Caenorhabditis elegans: one gene and its partner. The protein of the gene in region 1 purifies or fractionates together with the protein of each later gene. This does not show direct contact. Each region holds a gene or a part of one and is shown in the gene's direction. Other genes may lie near its edges. The genes, in order: acdh-12 and F08F8.6.

The links.
Region 2: the proteins of acdh-12 (region 1) and F08F8.6 fractionate together in Caenorhabditis elegans (co-fractionation; one large-scale study listed by BioGRID). This does not show direct contact.

What each region holds. Positions count from the first base shown.
Region 1 is NC_003280.10:7,191,881-7,196,987, reverse strand, and holds acdh-12 (Very long-chain specific acyl-CoA dehydrogenase, mitochondrial), read left to right. Parts: upstream 1-2,217; 5' UTR 2,218-2,224; coding exon 2,225-2,389; intron 2,390-2,435; coding exon 2,436-2,539; intron 2,540-2,586; coding exon 2,587-2,902; intron 2,903-2,949; coding exon 2,950-3,063; intron 3,064-3,111; coding exon 3,112-3,827; intron 3,828-3,872; coding exon 3,873-4,009; intron 4,010-4,053; coding exon 4,054-4,202; intron 4,203-4,258; coding exon 4,259-4,399; 3' UTR 4,400-4,554; downstream 4,555-5,107. Other genes in the region: maoc-1 (MaoC-like domain-containing protein), read right to left, coding at 1-326, 373-514, 563-650; E04F6.4 (PLD phosphodiesterase domain-containing protein), read right to left, coding at 4,569-4,779, 4,824-5,032.
Region 2 is NC_003281.10:7,341,741-7,346,562, forward strand, and holds F08F8.6 (uncharacterized protein), read left to right. Parts: upstream 1-1,948; 5' UTR 1,949-2,030; coding exon 2,031-2,069; intron 2,070-2,457; coding exon 2,458-2,658; intron 2,659-2,986; coding exon 2,987-3,086; intron 3,087-3,131; coding exon 3,132-3,224; intron 3,225-3,480; coding exon 3,481-3,530; intron 3,531-3,578; coding exon 3,579-3,641; intron 3,642-3,722; coding exon 3,723-3,989; intron 3,990-4,039; coding exon 4,040-4,084; 3' UTR 4,085-4,115; downstream 4,116-4,822. Other genes in the region: kap-1 (Kinesin-associated protein), read left to right, coding at 18-236, 323-447, 494-696, 1,083-1,150, 1,198-1,398, 1,729-1,833; F08F8.7 (Ribulose-phosphate 3-epimerase), read right to left, coding at 4,219-4,416, 4,466-4,553, 4,606-4,822.

The sequences.
Region 1 (5,107 bases):
CTCCTGATCCCAAACGATAAAGAGCAGCTTGATCAACTGTTGTCTTTTGTTCAATAACTGCATCTGGAGCTCTATCTGGGACAGTGGCAGCTTTTATTTCATGAGGTGATGTACGATCCCCTCCGAAGTTACCAGAACCGGTTTGAAAAGTACTGAATTGTTGCATTGCAATCTTCTTTCCATTTTCATCATAAGTGGTAACATTTCCAAGAATCAAAGCACCGGATCCTTTGTCAAGAATATCAACGACTCTAGCTTCAGATTTCAATTTTCCTTCTGCTGAAAGTGGTTGATAGACTTCAATATATTGTTCTCCGTGAAGAACTCTAAAATGATTAAACATGTGTTTTCAAGAAATCTTATAAGAAAAACCTCTGAAGATCAAATTCAACTCCTGGCCAATCCATCAAAGTGTGAGCTTGAAATCCTGGAGCAACAATGTACGATGGAAGCACTTTAAAGTCTTCATGGTTCTCATAAACGTAGCACAAATCTTCTTTCGCTCGAGCACCAACTAAATGAAATTATTAATCACTATTCAAAAGGTCTTAGAAAAAATTACCTCCAAGAGCATAAATAATAGCATCTCTGGTAGAATATGAGAACTCGCATGGCTCTGCCACATGTGCGCAAGCAGTTTTCTTATCCATTTTTAAGTATTTGTCGGAGAAGAAACAAAAACCAAATAATGAAATAGAAAATGCCAATACCTAACAAGGAATCGGTACAGTGTAGTCTTGACCCCATGTGTTGATAAGACTACGCTGCAGACTACATAACGAGGGTGAAATCAATAGTTTTTTTTTAAAAATAAGCACTAAAAGAATTATTACCACATACTGATAATTATTAGATGTTTTAAATAATTTGCAAAAAAAGTATACAAGGCTTTAAATTTCAATTAAAAAATATATAAAAACTAGACTTTTGTCGGGAGAGATGTACAACGTGTTCATAGTATACTATAGTATTTGGGTTTCAACTTATAGAAAATGATCGAATAAATTTCCTTCGTTTTGAATTTTGAAGCGAAGCACGCACAAAAATTAATAGACCAGTTTCAGATTTCTCTTAATTCAGAAACATTCATCAAATACCTATGACGCCTTGTCGTCTGTTCAATAAAATTAACATGGAAGGTCGATTTATTTTTTCCGATATTTAAACAACCAAGGATTGTTTGTCGACTGTTAAATAGCTAAATTACAGTATCCATTCTACGAACCATTTCTCTTTCTTTAATTAAAAAAATAAAGCTTATTTTTTCGCGTAAAAGCCTTCCGAAAAATTCACACGTTTTCAAACTTGTGCATTCGCTAAATTAGTTTATATTTTCACTCGTTCACTTTCGTACATTGAAAGAATTCCAAATTCCATACGGTTCGTTTCTATAATGTACAGATTTATTCAGATGTAAAAAACATTAAAACATGAGCCGTCAAATATAGTGCCGACGGTGTGAACACACCACCGTAACACCGTGACGACAGATTGCGGATTCATTTTTCTTTCAGAGTACGATGCAGAAAACTTCTGTAATTGTCGTTTTTTTTCTATTTTAATTTATTTTGTGGCCGTTAAAGATAAAATATAAGACAACAAGTGTTCATACGAATTTTTCAGTACCATGAGGTGACCCGTAGAGCTATAAAATCATGTTTTTCTTGAAAATTTCATCGAACCTGCGCTAAAGTGTATTTTATCACATTGTCTTTTCACTAGTGCGTAGCCAGGGCCGTTCAAAGTACATAGGGCAAAGTCTACAAGAGATAACAATGACCGTCCTCCACGTTTCCTCTCCATCGTTTGTGTATGTTGGCGATTAATCAGTTTATTATGGAAAATTTACGAAAAATACTGAGCAAACCATGTTTCCAGTTATTTTTAGTTAACTTTTAAACTTCTTATTTTATGAAACACTCTTTTATGTAATCCAAAAAAAGCAAAAAACCTATTCGTTCTTTTTTGCGTTCATATAAAATGCTAAATACTTTTCTATAAAACTTATTCTGAATTCTATTTATTTTGATTGCTCTTGGACGTTCAGTGTAAAAAAGTATTGTTATGTCTGTGTTCTATGTTCTCTCACATGCTGCGTCTCTGCTCTATCCACCGTTCGACCCCCAAGTTGTTTTCTTCACTCTTTATCTCCGTCATCGCTATTTACCCCCTACTGATTCACTGATTGAAACCTATATTATTGGTTTTTTCTTCCAGAGAAACGATGCTGTCAACGCTGAGTAAATCTGCACGGCTCAACCAAACACGATTCATTCGTCTTTCGCATTCTGCTGCTGCTGCAAAAGATGCAAAACCGAAGAAGGTCGCTGCAGTGGACAGTCCATCATTTGTCATGAATCTTTTCAGAGGGAAAGCTGTGACTGACCAGGTATTTGAGAATTTTAGCAGGACCTGTTCAAACTGCCAATTTCCAGGTGTTTCCGTATCCTCTGAATATGACTGACGAACAGAAAGAAACTCTTGGAATGGTGATGTCTCCACTGGAAAAGATGCTTGTCGAAGTTAATGACGTCGTAAAGTGAATAATAAATCTTAAATTTACATGATCAATTTATTTATTTTCAGAAATGACGAGACTTCTGACATTCCAAGAGCAGTTTTGGACCAATTCGCTGAGCTAGGAACATTTGGTGTACTCGTTCCACCAGAGCTTGAAGGTTCCGGATTCAACAATTCTCAGATGGCCAGAGTCGCTGAAATTGTTGGAGCTTACGATCTTGGATTTGGTGTTGTCATGGGTGCTCATCAGTCGATTGGCTACAAAGGAATCCTTCTCGAGGGTACGGATGCTCAGAAACAAAAATATCTTCCCGATTTGGCAACTGGACGCAAATTTGCTGCTTTCGCTCTTACCGAGCCAACTACCGGATCTGATGCTAGTGTAAGCTAGAATATTATTAATTTCTCATAAACTTTAAATTTATTCAGTCAGTTAGAACGAGAGCTGAATTGTCTGCTGATGGTAAGCACTACGTTTTGAATGGTGGAAAAATCTGGATTTCGAACGGAGGATTCGCCGATGTTTTCACTGTGTTTGCTCAGGTAATTTATTTTCATTTTTTGGAAAAACTTTCACAATTGATTATTCAGACTCCTGTCAAGCAGGCCGATGGCTCAACAAAGGACAAGATGTCTGCATTCATTGTCGAAAGAGCGTTTGGTGGAGTCACCAGTGGACCACAAGAGAAGAAAATGGGAATCAAGGGATCGAACACAACTGAAGTTCACTTTGATAATTTAAAAATCCCGGTTGAAAATCTTCTTGGAAAAGAAGGAGAAGGCTTCAAGGTGGCGATGAACATTCTTAATAACGGAAGATTCGGAATTCCAGCTGCCTGTACTGGAGCTATGAAACATTGTATCCAGAAGACTGTCGATCACATCACCACTCGTGTTCAGTTTGGAAAGAAACTTCAAGAATTTGGAAATATCCAAGAAAAGCTGGTAGAAATGATCTCGAAACTGTATGCAACAGAGTCAATTGTCTATATGCTTTCATCAAACATGGATCGTGGAATTAAGGAGTATCAACTTGAAGCAGCTATCGGCAAGGTTCTAGCTTCAGAAAATGCTTGGCTTGTATGCGACGATGCTATTCAAGTTCACGGAGGAATGGGATTCATGCGCGAGACTGGTCTTGAAAGAGTTCTCCGAGATCTTCGTATCTTCAGAATCTTTGAAGGAGCCAATGATGTTCTCCGCCTCTTCATTGCTCTTACTGGAGCACAACATGCTGGAAAGCATCTTGCCGAGCAAGCTTCTGGAGTCGGGGGCCTTATTGGGTTGGCTGTTTCAAGAGTTACCGGGTTTGTGAAATCACATTTTTAGAATTATTAAACTGTATTTTTCAGAGGAAACACTGGCTCCAACTTTGGGCAAGTCGTCGACGCAAGTCTTCAAGATTCAGCTAAAGTATTGGATCAGCAAATTGCTTTGTTTGGACAAACAGTTCAAGGATTACTCATGAAGCATAAAAAGGGAATAATTGGTAATAAAATACCTTTGAACTGCTTTTAATTTTAATTTTTGTAGATCGTCAATATGAGATGCACCGTGTTGCCGACGCTGCCATCAACATTTACAGCTCTGCCGCTGTTCTTTCTCGTGCCACCTATGCCATCAAGAACAAATCTTCAAGTGCTGATTTTGAACGCAAAGTTGCTACTTACTACGTTGATAAGGTAATTTTTGATAACTGCCAAATTTTAAGTTTTAATTTCGATATTTACTCTTTCAGGCGATGAAATCATCAAACAGATTCCTGAAGGATGCCGGAAGTGGTGTTGAGAATGCTTCGAAGGTAGCAACAATTGAATCATTGGCGAAGGAAGTCTGTGGAAATGGAGGACTCACTCTTCAACATCCAGTTGAATTGTAAATTGTAAACTAGACTTGTTTTTTTTTATCGTAAGAAGCTCTTTTAGCCAGTCTGTATGTATCTAGAATTGAATTGCCTTCTTTTTTGAATTTTCGGGTGCGAATATTTTATTTCTTGTGCTATAAAAAACGGAAAATAAATTTTATCAATTGAAATTTTATACACGAAATTAAATGAAAATAAGCGGATCGAGAATCTGATCTTCTCCATGGTTCTTCTCGTAAACTAGTCCGTCAGCAGAGTATTTCTCATTAAATACTCCTATTTGATCAAACCCAAACCATCCGGAGAATGGGTTCGATGGTTTTGAAATTTTTGGAAGATAACCTTTTGATTCACCGTATTTTTGAAGTTTTTGTGAGTACGTGCTATGCCAGTATCTGAAGACAATGAAACATTTTAAATATTTTTTATATTTAATTACCGTTCAAATACAGCTTTTATTTGTCTATTGATATCTCCATAATGTGGTTCTTCGTCTACAATAATTGCAGTTCCAGTTGATTTGTAAAAGTATTCAGGTCCATAATTCGATGAACCAATGAAGGTTCTTGATTCGGAAATCATGAATTTTGCATGCATCTTACGATCTTTATAAGCTTCTTGAGCGGTTTGTGGAATTAAAATGAACTTCTGAAATATTTATATTTAATAAATGTTCAAATTGCGAAGGAGATTTCGAATATTACTTAAACGCGAAATTTCGCC
Region 2 (4,822 bases), on another chromosome or scaffold:
AAAAAACATTTTTCCAGCTAATGAAAGATGTGCTAAGTGGAACAGGAAGTGAAGTGACAAAAGCAGTCCTGTTGAATATTTGCCTCGAAAAACGAAATGCTCAGTTGGTATGTGGACAACGTGGTCAAGGATTAGATCTTCTTATGGAAATGTCTATCAACTCGAGAGATCTAATGCTCATAAAGGTTGTTCGAGCGATTTCAAGTCACGAAGGTGCGACGCAGAATATGTTTTTGGTAAGTTGAGAACTGAATTATTATTGAACGGTGAAAATAGATAACGAAAAAAAATGAACGTTGTTATTTAAATTTAGAATTTTCAGAAGTGGATTGAAACTCTTATCGGGATTGCAAAAAATGAAGGAGCAGACAACTCAGAGTCAAAATCTTCATTTGGTTTAGAATGCATGGGTACAGTTGCTGAGCTCAAAGTTGCTCCGTGGGCAAAGTGAGCTTTTTGAGTTCGGAATTCCAATCAAAAACTTAAATTATAGAATAATTCAATCTGAAAATCTTGTTCCTTGGATGAAAACTCAACTTCAAGAAGGAATTGATGAATCCGAAGAAGTGACAGTACTTCGAGACATAAAACCTCTCCAACTACAAATTGTAATTGCTTGTGGAACAATGGCTAGGCAATTGGATGCAGCTAGGTTATTGGCTCCTTTGATTGATACATTTGTGCAGTTATTACAATGTACGTTCATAAATTTAAGTTATTTTTTAAGAGTTTGTTTCATAATAAAACCCCAGTAACTTTTGAAAACATAAAAGTTCATTTTTCCTCACAATCAGATTTAAAGGTGGAGCTTTGCCAGTTGGTAAATTACAAAATGGAAATTATTGAAACTAGTTGTGTTTCAATTGTATTTGAACATTCTAGGAAATCGAACATGTAAAAATGTTCAAAATTACTCAAAAAGTACATATTTTTGGAAGTAATTGGCAAATTAACAAATCTTCAGCTAAATCTTTTTTAAAATCTAACGTTTTTGAAGTGTTTTACTGGTGTCATTTTGATCTTTTTTGGGTGTATCGAGAATACAAATAAATTACTGAAAAATATCGCAATCTTTTTTTCAGCATGCCAAATTGATGATGAGTTTGTTGTGCAACTTCTCTACGTTTTCTTGCAATTTTTAAAGCACAAGGTATAACGTTTTAGAGTTTTTTCAACTCTCATATAAATTTTTCAAAGGAACTATCTGCTCGCCTGATGACTCAAGATTCAGCTCTCGGAGCCCATATGATCGATTTGATGCACGATGCAAACGCAGTGGTTCGAGAAGTTTGCGATAATGCCCTTTTGATAATGGGTGAACATTCAAAAGAATGGGCAAAACGGATAGCTGGAGAGAGATTCAAATGGCACAATGCACAATGGTTGGAGATGGTTGAGGTATGATCGTAGTTATTTTAACAATTTATTCGTTGATTGGTACAAATAATATTATGATACTGGTCACTATACAAATATACTATACAAGGTTTTGGAAATTTAACGTCACTAGCATTTCCTAGTTTTATTTCTGTATAAAAATACTTTCAAAAACGAAGACACTCTGACTATCCCGTTAAAAATATGTATCAAAAACATCATTACTTTAAATGAATCTATTTAGTAGTTTACGGTGAGTGTTACGGTAGAAACAGGATAGCAGTAATGCAGCTTGAGTTACATTACATTAATATAGGCTCTAAAGTCACCGGTTAAAAATCGTTTTTCCAGCGAGACGACAGCGAATTCGTAGATTACGATGATGAAGATTTTGGAGCTGATCTCAAATTTGATCACTATGATGATGGATTTGATATGAATGAGCCCCTTTTTTAACTTTTGTTTGTTGTTTTTTTAACCTACAAATTATATATTTTTACTTAATAAATGAATGTTTTGATTTATATGCAAAAAATTAAAACAAAATTCACGTATAAATATTTATCTTTTGAAAGGTCAAATTTTCTCTGGCCATGTAGTGTTTCACATTTAGTGTTTCATTCCTCGAAGTGACTGCTTCATTTTATTCAAAAATGAACAATTCTTCAAATGTTACAACTGCAATAATTTCGGTAAGTTGTGAAACTTTCAATCTTGTGAATCTTAAAGGTGGAGTGAATGGGGACACATATAGTACTTGAAAGAGTCTAGGACTCAAAAATGCCACAGAAGAAAATAAGAGAAATTATTAAGAGACCATGAGATCATGAGAATGCCTACCGTTTTGGCGCGGGAATATCTCGTAGCGAAGGTACCTAAATTCTCATCGCCGCATGTTCTTACAATTAGATTACTCTAGATATCCGAAGAATCTCTCCTGCCGCCATTTTCGCGCCAGAAAGTAGACATTCTCATGCACCGATGGTTTCTTAATACTTGACACGTTTAATTTGAAGTGGAATCTAGTTGCATCGTGGCTGGGAACCTCATTAGCAGTTCTCATGTTAATCGGATTTTCAGACAACAACGATCGATAACTTACTCAAGCAACACCAGTGTGAATATTTTCATTATAATAAACTGGCACTTGGATTATGGATTGTAGCTTCTGCACTTTGCTTCATCGCGTTGTTGAGTACCATTTACTCGGTTTTCAACGCATTTCAACTATGGAGTACGATACAGGATTTGGATAATGCAATCATCGATTTGATTGACGAGGCAAGTTCAACTCTTCAGAAATTGCCCTTTTCGATAGTTGTGAATTGAACACCTCTCTTTTGGATACTTCTACAAAACATTATATTCACACATACAATACACTTGTAGGTTACTGTAGATATCCGAAGAGTCTCTGAAGTACTATCACGACTCTCAAGTCAAATGATGAAAAACTAACGAATAAACTGTAGTTTCGAACTTCTATAATGTTCCGATACAAAAATAAACATTCGATAAGGTTATTTTTAGAAAAAATTGGTTTTGGTCAATGCCCCAAATTATGATAGAAAAGTTTTCATAAAAAGTTATTTAATTTTACTAGTTTCAGGCGTTGCAAATTCTCCTTCCAATCGAAATCTGCAAACAAATCTGTCATCCTAATCATTTGGGTTCTGTCAATGTGAACTACTCGACAAATGGACAAAAACGTATGTCTTTCTCTGTATCTGTCTCTCCAAAATTCATTATTTCAGAGGAAACAAAACCAGGAAAAAAAGATAATCGATATCCAGAAGATGTCACATTTCCACCATCTGATATTGAACGTGTTTATGACACGATGGGAGGTAAGAATCAGAACTCGGTTATTGTTTAGTTGCCATACGCTCCAATTTTCGGCAACCAGCAACTTGGTTGCCCTGGTGGTCAGATAGACAGGGAGTAGGTATTGAGGGGGGTTGTGCAAGTCGGCAAAGCCGTAAGATGTAGGGATGAGGTGGACACGTACGCAGGCAGGTGTGAAGTAAGTATTAGGTAGGCAGAAGGAAAGGGACTGGTGAAGTGTCTGTCTATTTCTTGCAAATAATCGAAATCAATTTTCAGATGAAGATACTCGTAAATCGAAGACTATGACACTTGGAACTATTGAAGAGGTTTGTATGTTCACTCGAGTGTTTTCATTCATTTCAATCAATTTTCAGCCTGCTCCAAAATCGGCCATGCTCAGCTTACAGAAGACACCAAAGGAGAGTGAGACTGATCTGGTTCGTTTTTTATTTTTCGAAATATTTTTTAGCTTTTGTAGTACTCCAAGATCTTGAGCAAAAGTACAACCAATTTTTCAGAAAAAGACATTGCCACGTTCTCCTCCTCCAATTCCGAATCGTAAGCAGCCGTCTCGTGAGATCATGTTGACTCCGAAGCAATCTACAAAGACTGCAAATGCTGGAGGAAGAAGCAAGGAGCCGTCGTTGAATACTGCAATGAGCCAAGAGGCAGGAAATATCGAACCACGAAAGACTCCGAGTAAAGATACAATTGGAAGTACTGGAGTATTGCCATCAAATCAGGATAAGAAGACTCCGAGCAAGGAGAAGGAAAGTGTTAAAAATGTAAGCAACTGAAGAATGGTCCATGATGTTTTGTAATGCTCTTTTTTCAGACACCTGCTCCGACCCCGAAGCTAGGAACTGCAGAGCCCATCTGAACTTTATAGATAAATAAATGCTGCTTTGAATTTTTTAATTGACAATCATTTACTAACTATTAACATCACAACCTCAAAAAGCTCTGAAAAAATGAGCTTCAAAATTCAAAACAATATTCAAGTAATTAAGAAAATCAGCACTTCGAAATAGCAGCTTCAACTGCATTTCTGATTGTTGTCATGGCGACAGATTGATCTGCAGCTTTGATGATTCCAGTTCCACTCACGATCGCATTGGCTCCAGCTTGAGCAGAGATTTCAATATTTTCAGGTGTTACTCCTCCGTCAACTTGAATAGTCAGATTTGGATATTTTGAACGGATTGTGCGAACCTGAAAGCCATAAATTTTATTCGTATCAAATAAAAACCAAAATAAATACCTTTTCCATCATGTTTTCCATGAACTTTTGTCCTCCAAATCCTGGTTCCACAGTCATGATAAGAGCATTATCCAAATGATTAGCATGTCTAAAAAGTTTTTTAATTTAAAATCTAGATTGAAATATAATTTTGATTTTACTTCAAAATATGCTCAACAGAAGTTCCCGGTTTGACCGATAATCCCACTTTCATTCCACTTTTTCTGATTTTTTCGATCAATTCACTGACTGCCACATCACCATCTACAGCCTCATAATGGAATGTGAACTGGCTGGCACCAGCTTTTGCCATCGGTTCAACCCACTGTCCAGGATTAGAGACCATCAAATGAACATCGAAGAATGGTTCAGCACCAA